Notamacropus eugenii: one gene and its partner. The protein of the gene in region 1 purifies or fractionates together with the protein of each later gene. This does not show direct contact. Links are inferred from orthologs where the notes say so. Each region holds a gene or a part of one and is shown on either strand. Other genes may lie near its edges. The genes, in order: EYA4 and DCTPP1.

Region 1 (7,917 bases):
ACCTTTTCTAAGGTATACAATCAACTATAAACATAGGACAGTCATTTTTTTTTTTTTTTTTGCATTTTTCTCCTGCTGCCATAAAGAAGAAATAGTCTCCTAGTTACACATATCACTGTTTCTGGCATTCCAGCCCGTATAAAACTGCACATTTCCGTTTACCTTAATTTTCTATAGCTTACTTTGAATATTTCATTTTTACCTAAAATATACACATAAATACTTAACAAGTTATTTGTTCCTTAGAATCGTCTATGGCAAATATTAAAGATTTATTTCATATTTTCCCTGTCTTTTATCTGGTTCTGATTATCGCGTTTGGGCGCTTAAGGCTTGAAGTAACGTCCTACAAAAAACCAAAAATGTATTTTTTTGTTTTTCAATATCAAACATTATAAGAAAATCCTTGTTAGCGACCCCCTGAGTCGTATGGGTTAAAAAACAACAGCACCAGCACCAGCACCAGCACCTTTTAATATTTTCAGTCTCCTAAATTTAAATGAAACTTCAGAAGCCTACGATTGGCATTACGCAGTTGTGCTAAACGTTATTAAAGCTCCCACCTAAATCCCGCAGGAGTTTGACGCTGAAATTGACAAAGACCTGTGGAGAATGCAATCAGTTGCTGTCAATAAGAGTGCCATATTCTTGAAGATAAATTTCTTTCGATCAGTTACATTCATCTCAGGGTGCGAGCCAGACAGAGGTAAGGGAAAAAGAAAACTGTTAAGTATGAGCCCTTAATGTGAAATCTAACCTGTTGGTGCTCTTAGGTATCAGATTTTGGAAGTGTCTGTAATGACAGCCAGAGAGGCAAATTAATGGCCAACAGCCCACTGGGTTTGAACACGAAGAATCCAGTTACCTCCTTACAGATCAAGTACACAACACACACGCACACGGAGGTCCTCCACGTGGAACTGTCTTGAAACCAAAACACATGTCTGCACTTCTATACTGCACCAGGCAAGAAGGGAACCTACACCTTCCCTAGCTAGTATTCTTGAATGGTTTGAGTATCTTCTCCCGCACTTTAGAGGGGAAGGAGGCAGAGAAAGAATGTATGAATGGAAGCAAACCCACGCAATCATTGAGAAGCACAAACTTTCTTCCCTCAGGGCAAGGAGATACGGAAAACGCACGGAGAATCTACTCCCTAATAGTCTGCAAAAATTAAACTCTCCCTTACTGTTTTGCCCATCTGCTCTGCCTTGAGATTCCATCAGTAAACTCTCCTAATAACTCCAAGCTGTTCTGAGTTTTGTATACAAAGAAAGGATAATATTTAAGTGCTACTAAGTAAAGATTTTTTGGATGCTGTAATGCGCAGATTAAAGAACCATGCAAACTGTCAACTTGCAAATACAACTAAACAACACCGAAAAAGAAAAATAGTATAGTCTTAGAGAGCCCCCTTGACTAGTACCGAAGACCTTGTCTCTTCCTTCTATAGTCACGCTGTATTTGTTGGGGGGTGGGAGGGGAGAACTGTAATTTTTCTACTGCATCCATAGACAGCCAGTGTAATTCTGACAACTCTAGGCTAATTTCACGGATCCTGGCAAACTCACCAAGCTGTTCGTTCCACGGCACATAAAAAATTATTAAATACGGAACACCATGGTAGACGTGCTCATAAAATTCATTGGAAACTGTTTGTGCCTCCAGTTTAAAAGGAAACTGCTGCATTTGTTCATGCACCCCAACAAACAAACACAAACACACCCCAACGCTCCTACATCTGGGTATAACTATGGGTCATCTTTACGCCTGCACAATTTAAGTGTATCCTCGAAATATAAATTTAAAACAATCGGAGAAAGAGAGTAAACCTGACGAAGGCTCATCCATCAGGATTTGTCATTACTATTATTATTATTGGACGGTGGAGACGAGGACAGGTAAGTAAAGGAGGAAGGAACAATGAACCGGCCGCGGGGACCTAGCTTAGGGTTCGCAAAGGATTTCCCTGACCCCCTGTAACAAGACTTCCAGTGAAGTGGCGAGACGCATAGAATTCTGAGCAAGCGAGAGAAGGACATCACCTGAAGTGGAGCAGAAAATTTGGCAGGGAAGAAGCAGCCCCGGTACCCACACCAGAGTTCAAAGTCCACAAAGTACCAGGAAAACAGGATTCAGGCTGATCACTCGGACATAGTGCAAGAACCATCCCCTCCACCATTCACCGCCCCCCCCCCCCAAGTTACTGATCTCTCTCTCTCTCTCTCTCTCTCTCTCTCTCTCTCTCTCTCTCTCTCTCTCTCTCTCTCTCTCTCTCTCTCTCTCTCTCTCTCTCACCTCCCTCCCCTTTCCCTTTTTCTCTCTCCCCCCCTCCCCCCCCAATGGCAGCTTTCGGCCTCAGCTGGGTACATTTTCTCAGGGAGAGTTAAGGTCTAATCACAAGCGAAGAACAATGACTCAAAAAGCAAAATATCGCCAGACTTTTAAGGGAGTTAGGAAGATGGGATACTCACCCTGCTGGTGCCCCGACAGCCGCAATTTTTAACTTTTTTTTTAAGCCTCTGATCCGTTTGTATATAGAGTGTATGGGTATGTATTTATTTATTTATTCTCCTCCCTTCTTGATGTCGAAGTTTCCCCTCTGCTGTTCCTCTGGTGAAAACAGGACATCCCCTTCGGCTACCCGCACCACCCCCCAATAACTAGAGTACACAAGTGGAAGAGAAGGGTGGGGGTCCGTGAGAGAAGTCTAGGCTCAGCGGGGGAAGAAGAAAGGAAGAGGGCCAAAACTTTTGAGTGACTTCCAAAACAAAACAAAAAAGCAAAGAGAAAGCCCCCACGCTGGTAGAGTTGTCAAACACTCGTTCTGTCCTTAGGAGAGGGGGCCCTTCCCCAGTTTCCAGGACTATTAATCGTTTGGAGTGGGGGGAGGCACTGGGCGGGGGTGGTGTTTTCTGAGTTTAAAAAGGAGAGGGAGCCCTTGGGAGCGGTAAGCGGAGCGTGCCCTGGAGCAGGAGCTGCTTCGCACTTGTGCGGAGGGGGGAGCGGTGGCAGGCGGCGCCTGCCCGGGTGGTTGGAGCTGCCGCTGCCGCTGCCGCTGACGCTACTGCTGCCGCCGCCGCTGCTACTCCAGCAGCTGCCCCTGCCCTGCCCTGCCCTGCCCCTGCCCCTGCCCCTGTCTCTGACTACAGCCGCCACCGCCACTGCCGCCGCCGCTGCTGCCGCTGCTGCTGCCACTGAGCGAGGAGGCTGCCGCCGCACAACAAAGCTGCAAAAAGGCAGGGGGAGATGTTGGAGCCCGAGGCTGCAGTCTAGGAGGCTACGGGGTGAAACCGAGCGGACAAGACTGAATTCTGCTTATTTCAGTTCAGGCTGCTGAACGCTGTCATTGGTGGCATGCTGGAGTAGGGAGCCGATGGGACTATGATGTCGGGGACCGTGGGAGTAAGCTGTGGCAAGGCTCTGACATACCTCCTAACTTTCTCCTTAGCCCTGGCCAAGACTTTACTGCTACCTGAGGCAGCACACTCCCCCCTCCCTTTCCCAAGGGTATTGGAAGAACTCTTTGGACCACATTTCCCTTCCCCACCTGCTACTTGAGGAATTCTACAGGATCCTCCCCTAACACTCTCTCTCTCTCTCTCTCTCTCTCTCTCTCTCTCTCTCTCTCTCTCTCTCTCTCTCTCTCTCTCTCTCTCTCTCTCTCTCTCTCTCTCTGTCTCTCTCTCTCTGTCTCTCTCTCTCTCTGTCTCTCTGTCTCTCTCTCTCTCTGTCTCTCTCTCTCTGTCTCTCTCTCTCTCTGTCTCTCTGTCTCTCTCTCTCTCTGTCTCTCTCTCTCTGTCTGTCTGTCTGTCTGTCTCTCTCACTCTCTCTCTGTCTCTCTGTCTCTGTCTCTGTCTCTGTCTCTCCCTCCCTCTCCCCCTCTCTCCCCTTCTTTCCCCTTTCCACCAACACAGGCACACACACACACACACACACACACACACACACACACACATACACACACACACACACACACTGGAAGCTGCTACATTCCCTTCTGCCAAAACTATTTCTATTTTGCCCGCGAGTGTATGGGGTTGGGGCGGGGGGGGGGGGAGAAGGGAGTCTTTTTTTCTTTTTGGAGGAAAAGGAAACTGGATAGGAGGATTTTTCCTCATGTCCTAACTGCTCCTCTCCTCCCTTCCACCCCAATGCCACCCCCATGCTATTCATGAGCCTCTGACAGATAGCTATGTGACACGAATAAATGAAGGAGCAACCAGTTTTGGAATGTGCTATACCAGAAGGGATTGAGCCACTTCAGTTCTGTGGGCAGGTATGGGAATCCTGGGCAGATGTCAAAGGTCAGCCCAGCCAAAATTGGATTCCAGAGCCAGCTCACTCAGCTCAATGATTTTACAAGCATCTTGCTGAAGCAACAGTTTTTACTTGATACTTCTGAATGTGTATCTACATATAGATAGAATTTACCAAAGCCTGTGCAAAGCCTCATAGGACAATTAGTAACTATGCTCGTGTCCCCATCTCTTTTCAAACCTGATTATTTATTTTAATAAGCTTCTGCCATGAAAGCTACCATTCATAAATTAAAATGCATTTGCATCTATCCATCTCTCCATTCATCCGTGCATCCATCCATCCATCTATCTCTGTCTGTCTGTCTATCTCTCATCTTCCTGACATTCACATGAGGAAAACAGAAGTCAAGAAGTTGTCCTAACCTTTCTGATTAAGGCAGAGAGCCTTATTAAACAAATATTTAGACTTAGGAATTGAAGTATGAATAGAAAAATTACTGAAACTGCTCATCATTTTTTTCCTGATATGGACATTAGCTAGAATTTGATTTAGATGAGTATATGTTCAGGGCCATGCCCCAGATCTAGCTTTCCCCTCTGATGTCTGGAAGTCTCTTTGTTTTGATGACCAAAAAGAGAAACTTTATGATTGGCAGGATTGTTTTCCTACCTAAATATACCTATATGAAAGAACATCTGTTGAAGCAACAATTAACTTTTTTTTAAACTTAACATTGAGACAGATAAATTAATTTCCCCCTGTGTTGGGTCTCTTACTACCAGTGTCTTTCCTATAAAAGAAACAAATAGAACTTGAGACACACTTGAATATACAAGTCATGGATGTTAAAATAATTTGTTCAATGTCTATGGCTTAGAAATTTTTTAAAAAAGTACATACTCTTCAATATCCTTCCCTTCTGCCACCACTCCTATTCCTTTTAAGAGTAAACTTACAGATTAATGATATGATAGATAAATAGTACAGTGCATGAAGATTAGTTTTGTTTATACTTTTCACACCATTGTATTATTGGCCAGGAAATTTCCTCCTCATTTTCCTTAGCTTCTAAGAGCATTTTAAATGTATTAGTTCAATTATTGCTTTGCATCTAAACAAGATAATTTGGACAGTGCTACTATCCATTGATAGCTGGAAAAAAATCATAAGATCCTAAGTCATCAGTTTAGAAGTGGAAGTGACCTTAGAGGCCATCTAATCCAACTCTCTCACTTTATAGAAAAGGAAACTAAGGGTCAGAGAGTGACTTGCCCAATATCACAGAAGTACTAGTAGTAAATTGGGGGTTTCAATTGAGGTTCTAAGTTCAAATTCATTGATCTTTCCTCTATAATACCTCTCTGTATAGTCACCTTTCTGGACTTCTAGTGAGGAGAAAGTCAATGTTATCCTCCCCGCCCCCGCAAAGTATTCCTTTTAGAATTTTGATTTTCTAGATTTCAAAAAGTTTTTTTTTCTTTTTAAGGGGTTTATTTACTGCCTGTGGCTATTGCTTGATATGGTAATCATTTTTACACCATTTTCATAATAGAAAAAAAAAAACCTTTCATTTTTGAGCTGTGATCATAGATTATGATTCACAGTTCAAAAACCAAATTTATCATGAATTCTAACTTCAAAATAACTGTCCATATATGAATTTCATATAACCCATAATGCATTCTCTGAAATTGACTTGTCTAGAAAAGACCCTGCTTTCAGAAACAGTATGTGGCTTTCTTGTATAATTACAAAACTGCACTAAATGCATGTGTGCATTTGTTGGGAAGGAGAGGTAATAGAGTTTTAATTCTTCCCTTTTAGGTTCCATTAATTCTACTTCTCACTCATGAGGTGAAATGTTTTTGTATATTCCTAATTAATATCTTCCTTTACTTCTTCCCTCCATCTCCCATCTTCACTTCTACTATATGTCCTTTATTTCTGCATGTTGTGAAAAATTTAAGTCCAGGTTACTTGGTCAGCATTATTAGTTGTAAATCTTCCTGATGTTTCATATTTTCATTTTTCCTGAACCAATCCCCCTAACACCAGTTTCAGTTTCCTTATTAAATCATTATAGATGGTTGCTAATTTAAGTTAATGAATTCTATTTCTAAAAGTAACTAAAACATCCAAATGTCTTCAAATCTGGTCTCTGCTTTTATCATGAAATAATAATATGGCTGTATGCTCTCATCCAATATTGAAGACTGAAGCCTAATCATTAAAATAAATCATCTTTAGGAAAATGGGTAATTGAAATTAAAGTGCTTTAAAGAATCAAAAAATCATACAAGTGACACTAATTTAATAAATGACTTCCTCATTGTACTTGAAAGGTTTATTTATAAATTACAGAAAACATCCATAAGTGCATTCTTAATATAAACCAATTTCAGCTACAAGTTGTCCTTAACCTTTGGATCTCATTTTGTTTTCAGATTTTGCAGGGTGTTATTGCCTTGTAATTGGGGCTGGGGGAGCAGGACTCAGAATCTGGGGAAAATAAAAGTCTACAATTAAGTATAATACAAATAAAAATATATGATACCATTGATTATTTTTGTGCTTTTTTTTATTAAAAAAACGGGTTTTCAGTAGCAGGAATATCCATCCTGTTTTCAAATTGTAGCATGTGATATTAACTATATTTATCCAAACTAATACATTTGGAGAAATATAACAATTTGGCCAAGATATGCAAGTAATAATGAAAAATTTGCAAATAGAGAACAATTTTATTCCAATGTTAAAATATTTCAACTAATTGTTATAGTAGTTTCCTTAAAGATGCATAATAATAATAACAATATCTCATAAGTATTATTACTACTAGTGAAATAAAAACTTCAAGAAAGTCAATTCCATAATTTTCTTGCTTTAGAATATAGTATTGAGTATACCCACACAGTGAATTTATAGGGGGATATGGATGACAGTCACATAGGATAGATAGGTATGGATAGGTTGTGATTTATATTCTTGTAGGGAATACTTCCAGGAATGAAACTATAGATATATTAAAATATTAAAGTAAGCATGATATAGTTTTAACTTCAAGCCCCGCATGAAAATTCGAAAGCAGAAGAAATTAAGGTAGAACTCTAGTGAGATTATACAGATTAAGATAGATTTTTTTTTTTAATTTAAGAGGTTGCCACTTCAGTTTTTTTTTTATTTTTTAAGCTATATTGTACTCATTACAGAAATAAACAAATTATTGAAGAGAAATCAACTGATCATCATTAGTCTATGATAACATAATAAAAATCACATTATCTAAATGAATTTACAGATTTAAGGTCACAGCAATAAAACTACTAAAGGGTTATTTTGCAGAACTGGATATAATACTTAGAAAATTCATCTGGAAGAACAAATAGGTCAAGAATCTCAAAAGACGTGTTTTTTTTTTTTCTGAAAGAAGTATGAATAGAGAAGGTCTTTCAGTATCAGATCTCAAATTATTTTTTAAAAACAAGTCACAACTATTTAGTACTGATTAAAAAAACAGAAAGACAATGAGTCCCAGAGTTTTGGTAAATAAGGTTGAGAAAACATAGTAGCACAGTTTTTGACAAACTAAAGAACACCTACTTATTTGGGGTAAGACTAATCTATCCAATAAAACTTTGAGGAAAACTAGATAGT
Region 2 (7,407 bases), on another chromosome or scaffold:
CCACTACCTAAGCACCAGGCCCTGCTCTCTCTATCTAGTGAGTCTGATGTTCAGGGCAGTCCCATCCCAAACTGAGTTTTTCCTTTTCCCCAAAACAGCCCTCTGACGCAGACTTGAAACCATAGTCTTTTTAATTAAATTTTACTTTATTTTCAAATGAAGATGCAATCTCTCACATTCCCCCACCCCACTGAGAAAGCAACAGACAGACACAGACACACACACACAAAACTGCTATAAATGCACAGTCAAGCAAAAAGAAGTTCCTGCATTGACCTTGTCCAAAAAATGTATCATTCTTCATTTGGAATTCATTATCTCTTTATCAGGACGTCGGTGGCAAGTTTCATTATGAGTCCTCCAAAAGCATGGAGTCAAACTCAAAGAGAAACAAGTCACCTAAACCAAAGGACCCCTGTATGTTATACACTGACTTAGAAATTAATTATTGTACTATTACACAGTGTATTATATTACCTATTACACATGTTAATTATCTATGTTCTGTTATAGGTTTAATTTGTTAAATATTTCCCAATTACATTTTAATCTGGTTCAGACTGCCACAATTGCTACCTCTGCTCTAGAACTATGGCCGTTCAAAATTCCCAAGTCTTTGAAGACTTCCTCATTCATCTTTTAACACCTTCCTCTCCCTTACCTTCCACAATGAGCCTCTTAAGTTCTGTCCATTCTGTTTCTGAAATATCTTTAGCATCCACCCATTCCCTCCCTCCCTAGGCCATCCCACCTTAAGCCTTTGTCACACCTCTTGCCTGGACTACTATAATATTGTAACTGGTCTCCCTTTCTCCTGGCTCTTCCTCTTTCTAAATGCATCCTTCTTTCCATCACTGAAGTAATTTCCTAATGCACAGGTCTAATGACCGCCTTTAGTGGCTCTGAGCAAAATCCTTAGCCTGGCAAGCAAGACTCTTTATCGCTCCATGACATGGCCCTGTACTCCTTTTCAAGCTTTATTTTCTATTAATTTCCTTTACTTTCTCTTCAGTCATATTGGACAGTTGCTATTATTATCACACACCTCATTATTTCCTGCCTTTACTTATGCTATTAGCATTTGGGGTCCTACCTACCCCCATCATTTGCACCTAGCAAAATCCTACCCATTCATCTTTCTAGGCTCAGCTCAAATGCCACCTAGGAAGCCAGGAATGCTCTTTACCTCCTCAAAAATCTTTGCCAAGAAAATCCCTCAAACTTCCTTGGCTCACAGGACTTTGTACCTCTCCTATGCTCTTATCAAATTCTGCCTTATATTTTCATTAAATATTTCCCAACTAAATGTAAGAAAAATTTAACATGCTTTTTAAAAAAATTTTGAGTTCCAAATTCTCTCTCCCAATTCTCCCCCTTTTGAGAAGGCAAGCCATTTGATAGTAATTCTACATATGAAGTTATGTAAAACATGCCTCCACATTAGCCATGTTGCAAAAGAAAACATATGTCCAAAAAAAGGGGAGAAAAATAAAGAAAGTAAAAAAGTATGCTCCATTCTGTATTCAGAGTTGATCCGTTCTCTCTCTGATGGTAGACAGCATTTTATTACATATATTTGATTCATTCTCCCTACTAGATTGTAAACCTTTAAGGGCATGGCCTATGCCTTGTCAGTCTTTACATACCCCACTGCACCACCGTGCAAAGATAAAAACTCACAGATTAATCCAGTACCAGCATCCCAACAGAGCAGGTGATGCCAAGGTGGAAAGGGAAGATAGGAAGGACCCAGTGCATCCCTTCTTCCCCACCTGTCCCAATCCCTATGCCATTCCCGTTACTCACAAGAGCTCTGCCAGCTCTCCCACTTCCCCAACGAGGGCCAGGAGGAGGTTCCGAGGTTTATGAAACTGGTCCCAGTCTCGTTCGGCTGCAAACTCTGTCTGGAGGCGACGGCTATAGGGGAGAAAGAAGGGGAAGGGGTAGGAGAGGCAAAGACTAGGTCGGAAGAAGGGCCAGCCCTGCAGCAAGAACTAACTGTCAGAACTGAGAGGGATGTTAAATGAGAATTTATTACAAACCCCTCATTTTACAGAGGGGTAAACTGAGGCCAGGAAAGTAGGTGGTGTCCTCCACCAGGCCTGGAGTCAGAAAGACTCATCTTCCTGAGTTCAGATCCAAGTCTCGGACATGTGCTAGCTGTGTGACCCTGGGCAAGTCACTTCACCCTGTCTGCCTCAGTTTCCTCATCTGTCAAACGAGCTGGGGAAGGAAGTGGCAAAGCATGCCAGTGTCTTTGCCAGGAAAACCCCAGACGGGGTCAGGAGAATCGGAAGTGACCGAACCCCCGCCACGAGCGGTCCACTAGGGGCTCCCTCTTGGGGGATCACCACGCCCACTTTACAGATGGGGAAACTGAGGCTCCGGGCACTTAGCAAAAGGAGCTGAAGTTCACGAAGCCCCCTTCGCCATCGTCACCGTCGCTCCCACGTACCCTGCACCGGGGCCTCACAGGGCCCGGCGCGGGGGGCGTCAGGCGGGCGCCCCATCTCTCTCACGGCTCCCCCCCTCCCAGGCCAGCGCTTAACGAGCCGGGGCCCGGGGCAGACATCGGCGCCTGTGCCAGCCCGAGTTTTGTCATCTGGTTTTGTGCACGCGAAGCGCCAGGACAGACAGGTTCGAGTCCCCCGGCTGGGTGACCCTGGGCAAGTCACTTAACCCCTGGGGCTGGCCGCTGCGGAGGCGGTGCTGACCTGTACTGGTGGAGGGTGTTTCCTCACCTGGGAGCTGCTAATACTAACACCGAAATAATCGGAATCTGGGCTTTCTCCAGCGGGCAGGGCACTGCGGGCTGGCAGGAGGCCTCGGGCTCCTCAGGGCCCCCCTCCCCGCCATCTTGCCCCATGGGGTGGGCAGCATCCCCGACTAAGGAGAGGAGGAGCGGGGCCCGCATCTCACATGTCCTCCAGCGTGGGCTCGGGGCTGAAGCTGAATGGGGTATCGTGCCCCGCCGCCGCCGCCGCCGCTCCCGCCGCCGCCGCGCCCTCGGGGCCGCTGCCCCCCGGCATGGTGCTGCAGAGGCCCCACTCACTCCGAAGCCACGTGAAGCCGCCCGGCCCGGCCCGGCCCCTCCCCCTCTCCCGTTTTCCCGGGCTCCGGCCCCCGCGGCGCGTTCTCCCTTTACGCAGGCGCAGTCGAGAAGTCAGGCCGCAGAGAGCGGGGAGGAGGCGGGACAGGTCCTGAGAAGGAGCCAATAACGTACCTTATGTTTTCTCCCGGGCCCACACATGGACCAATCAGAGAGCCTCGCGCTCGGACTCCTGAGGCGGGGCCTAAGGTAAGGTGGGCTGGGCGTGGGCTCCCTAGAGCGAGAGCTCTTAAAGGGCCCGTTCGTTAAACCTTAGGGTCCGATCCGCCAAGGGATAAACAAGGAAAGGCGGGGGACACAGGAACTAGGGCGCAAGCGCAAAAGGCCGTAGCTGGAAAACTGGGCCAGGGCTGGCGTGTCCTCGATTGGCCACCAGATGGCGACAAGAAACATGCACCCTGGAAGGGTTCCTGAGCTCCACCGTTCAACCAGCATTTATTAAGCTTCTGCTGCGTACCCTGCGAGTGCGAGGAACGCACCTGGAAGCAGACAGCCGTGCCACTGCCCCCCTCCCCTGGTCCCCATTGGGCTGGAAGAAGGCGAGCCCTGGGAGGCCAGGGGCTGCAGCCATGCTCCCAGAATCCAGTGGGGTTGTAGTAGGCACGTGAATGCAGGCTGGTTGTCTGCGTACACACATATGTCAAGATCGTCCGAACATGTAAACACATGTAATGTGCTACATGCTTATACATGTATGTAATGTATTACATTATTTATATAGAAATGTACGTAAGATATTTCTGTATAATAGAAATATATGATCTATGTATGGAAACATTTTATGTATAAATATATACATATATGCATGTATATGTATAATATATATTATATTATATTATATGTTATTATTATATTATATATTATAATATATATAATTATACATAATATATATGTATAAATCAATATATTCATACATAAAGTATGTTACATAAATAGTACATATAATATGTTATATATAAATATATTTATACCTAAAGTATGTTACATAAATATGCATTTATACAAATATATGATGTACATTTATATATAATGTATGCACAGCACTGTAAATACAAATTAATTGTGGAGGGGGGAGGGCATTAACCACTGGGAGGATGGGGAAAAGCCTATACAAACTGGCACTTGAATTGAGATTGGAAACCTTATGTGTGTGTGTATACATACATACATACATATATATACATATGTATACATATATACATGCATATATATATGAATGATTGTGTATAATTCCAAACTGCTCTCCATAACTGCTGTAAAAGTTCATGAAGTGGTTTAGTTTGCCTTTTCCCCTCAATATACATCATTTACTGTTTTGGCCCTTGTTGTTTATGAGGTAGAAACTCGAAATTGCTTTTATTTTAATATTTCTCTAATAATGACAGAGCATTTTTAGAGGGTCAGAGATCATTTGGATGTATTCCTTTGAGGGTGGAGGCACTGCTGTTCTTCAAGTCTCCCTTGTTATCTCTGACACCTCATTCTCCCTTACCCCTATGTCTAGTCAGTTGTCATATCTTGCTATTTCTCCTTCTACATCTCTCAAATATGACCCCTTCTCTCTGCTCAATGAACCTTACTTGAGGCCCTTCTCACCTCTGCTTCAAGTCTCTCCACTAGAGTCTATACTCCATACTACTACCAGTGATTTTGCTTAGGTACAGATCTTGCCTTGTCAGGCCAGGGGCTTCCTTTTGGCTTGAGGATAAAAAGCAAACACTTCTCTTTAGCTTTTAAAGCCTTATAAGACCTGGCCTGAAATTCCTTCCAGCCTTGTTTTACACTACTCCTTTCCTGCAAACTGTGATCCAATCACCTTCTCTTTGTCCCCTCTCCATATCATTTTGTACCTTGGGTAAATCAGGAAATATTCCAGGCCTGTATTGTCCTTCAACCAACTGCTATGCTCAGAGATCCTAAAGGATGTCTGGAAGCAGAAATAGCAGATAACATCATGCTCCCCACCAATCACCCTCCAGGAACCTTCTTAAAAGCAGGAGATGTCTCTAACACACACAAGAGATAAGAATTTTCTTACACAGAAAGGAATGCCTGGTAAAACATTTCTCAAGCTGCCAGACCACCCCATAGTGGAAAACTTCAAAACCGATGTTCCAGTCTGGACACAGATTTAGAAATCCATCCTTCCCACTCCCCACTGGCTATGAATAGTTGTCTCCAGTACATGTCTTTTGGACAAGTACATGTTATGTATGGGCTTCCTTTTCCCCTTCCAAGAGCAGATACTTTGGTTAATACATAATCACTCATTTAGAGAGGCATTTCCTGCCAAATAGAGAAATTATAATGGGTAGGAGAAACAAATCAGGTCTCTTACTTTTTAAAACATTTCCTGAATTCAGAAAGTCCTCATTCCATTTGTTGTAGTGAATGGCTATAATTAAGAGAAGTAACATGAATTCACTCCAGAAAGATGACTTGGCTCTGGATCATATAAAGCTTTGAACGCCAGATGAGTCTGGAATTGAGGAGGCAATAAAAAGCAATTGAGGCTTCAGGGTCAGAACTGGGCTTTAGGAATATCATTTAGGCAGTTAGATGGCGGTGGCCTAGAGAAAGAAGACCCTAGGGGCAGGAAGACTAATTAATTAGGATGCTAGTCAGTGGTCCAGCTAAGAGAGGATGAGGGCTTGAACTAAAAAGTGACTGGGTGAGTTTAGAGAAAGGGACAGATTGGAAGGATGTGTTTGGAGGTAGAATTGACAAGACTTGGAAACTGATGGGCTACAGGCATGGGAGAGGGATGATGGAGTCATTTAGTCAAAAGTCAAAAATCACTCTAAGATAACTACTAAGTCATGTAAGTCTCAATACCCTGTGCTAGTAACCTACAACATTAGCCCTGGGAGGGGCCTTTGGGAACCATATGATCCAACAACTACTTTATAGAGGAGGTTCCTCAGACCTTCCTAGAGGAGTTAGTGGCCCAGTATCCTGGGCTCCTGAGTCCCACCCTGTGGTTCTTTTCACTGCATTATCTTTCCATAAAATCTGTTCTAGCTTCTCAGGACTTCTTGCTTCCAAGAAAGTTTGGTAGTGAAACTCCCTGGAGAGACAGGGACTGGGGAAATGGAAAGCCTATGAGTCCAGACCTCTCATTTTACAGATGAGGAAACTGAGGCACAAGAGACTAAGTGATTCCCCCAGGGTCACAGAGGTAGTAAGCATCTAAGGTAGGAGCCGAACCCAGATCTTTCTGCATCTAAGTTCAGCCTATTCCATGTTGCTTCTCACAGAGTCAATATGTACCAAAGATGAGATCTGAACATAGATTTTCCTGATTCAGGGGTTCTTTCTATTAAATCATGTTAATATTCCATAGCATTTACATGGGTAAGTAAATAGAAGGTAATTTGAGGGATAGAGAAGTCTTTGAGGAATAGATAAAACCCAAGCTGAACCTTAAAGGAAGATTAAAAAAAAACAACAAAACAGAAACTAAGATAAAGAAGAAGTGAGTTCCAGTCACGAGAAACATAGATTTAGGAAAGGAAATGTCAAGTTCAGGGAACAAGTCATAGTCTAGTCTGGCTGTAGCAAAGAGTCTATGCAAGGGAATAATATGAAATAAAGTTGGAAGGATAGGTTTACTCTAACCAATAAATATTTATTAAGCATCTAAGGTAAATCAGGTTATAGAAGGCCTTAATTACCATAGTCAGGGATTGTTATTTGTCTTATAGCAATTGGGAACCATTGAAGGTCTTTGAGAAGAATTAGAGAGAGAAGGAAGAATAGGGAGACCAGTTAGGAGGTTATTACAATAGTCTAGACAGGAGGTAACTGGCCTAAAGTAGGATGAATGAAGAAAAGGGAATAGATGGAAAAGATGTCATAGAGGCCAATGGAAGATAATAGATGGGACTTGGTAACTGATTAGATATGGGGATGAGGAAGAGGGAAGACACTGAGGTTATAAACCTAAGTGTCAGGGTGGATAGTGGTATCTTGGACAGAAGTAAGGAAGTTTATGGGATGGAGGATGCTAAGTTTGGGTAGCTGAAGGAAATCCAGGTAGAGAAGTTGCATGTGTGTGTCAGAAACAGGAACTGCAATCATTTTTTAGCATTTTGGCAGACCAATATTGTAGGGATCTCCCTCTCCAACCATCTGATGGCCCAATAATAGAAAGTCTCCAACCACTATTGAAGGAGTATATAAAGTAATAAGCTGTGCAAGGACATAGCAAAATTGGATGGTCTGATCCAATGTTATAACAGTTGCTTGTTGTACTTGGATAGGAGACACCTGCAGTCTGCTCTATATGGTTATCTCGA

Evidence for each region.
Region 2: the proteins of EYA4 (region 1) and DCTPP1 purify together in Homo sapiens (affinity purification with mass spectrometry; 3 studies listed by BioGRID and IntAct, with this or other methods). This does not show direct contact. The link is inferred for Notamacropus eugenii from reciprocal best matches to the Homo sapiens genes EYA4 and DCTPP1.

The regions. Positions count from the first base shown.
Region 1 is NC_092873.1:218,976,856-218,984,772, reverse strand, and holds the start of EYA4 (protein phosphatase EYA4), read right to left. Parts: upstream 3,101-7,917; 5' UTR 2,475-3,100; intron 2,172-2,474; exon of another isoform or gene 2,046-2,171; intron 1-2,045. UniProt on the Homo sapiens protein: Tyrosine phosphatase that specifically dephosphorylates 'Tyr-142' of histone H2AX (H2AXY142ph). 'Tyr-142' phosphorylation of histone H2AX plays a central role in DNA repair and acts as a mark that distinguishes between apoptotic and repair responses to genotoxic stress.
Region 2 is NC_092874.1:378,218,188-378,225,594, reverse strand, and holds the start of DCTPP1 (dCTP pyrophosphatase 1), read right to left. Parts: upstream 3,174-7,407; 5' UTR 3,030-3,173; coding exon 2,920-3,029; intron 1,918-2,919; coding exon 1,807-1,917; intron 1-1,806. UniProt on the Homo sapiens protein: Hydrolyzes deoxynucleoside triphosphates (dNTPs) to the corresponding nucleoside monophosphates. Has a strong preference for dCTP and its analogs including 5-iodo-dCTP and 5-methyl-dCTP for which it may even have a higher efficiency.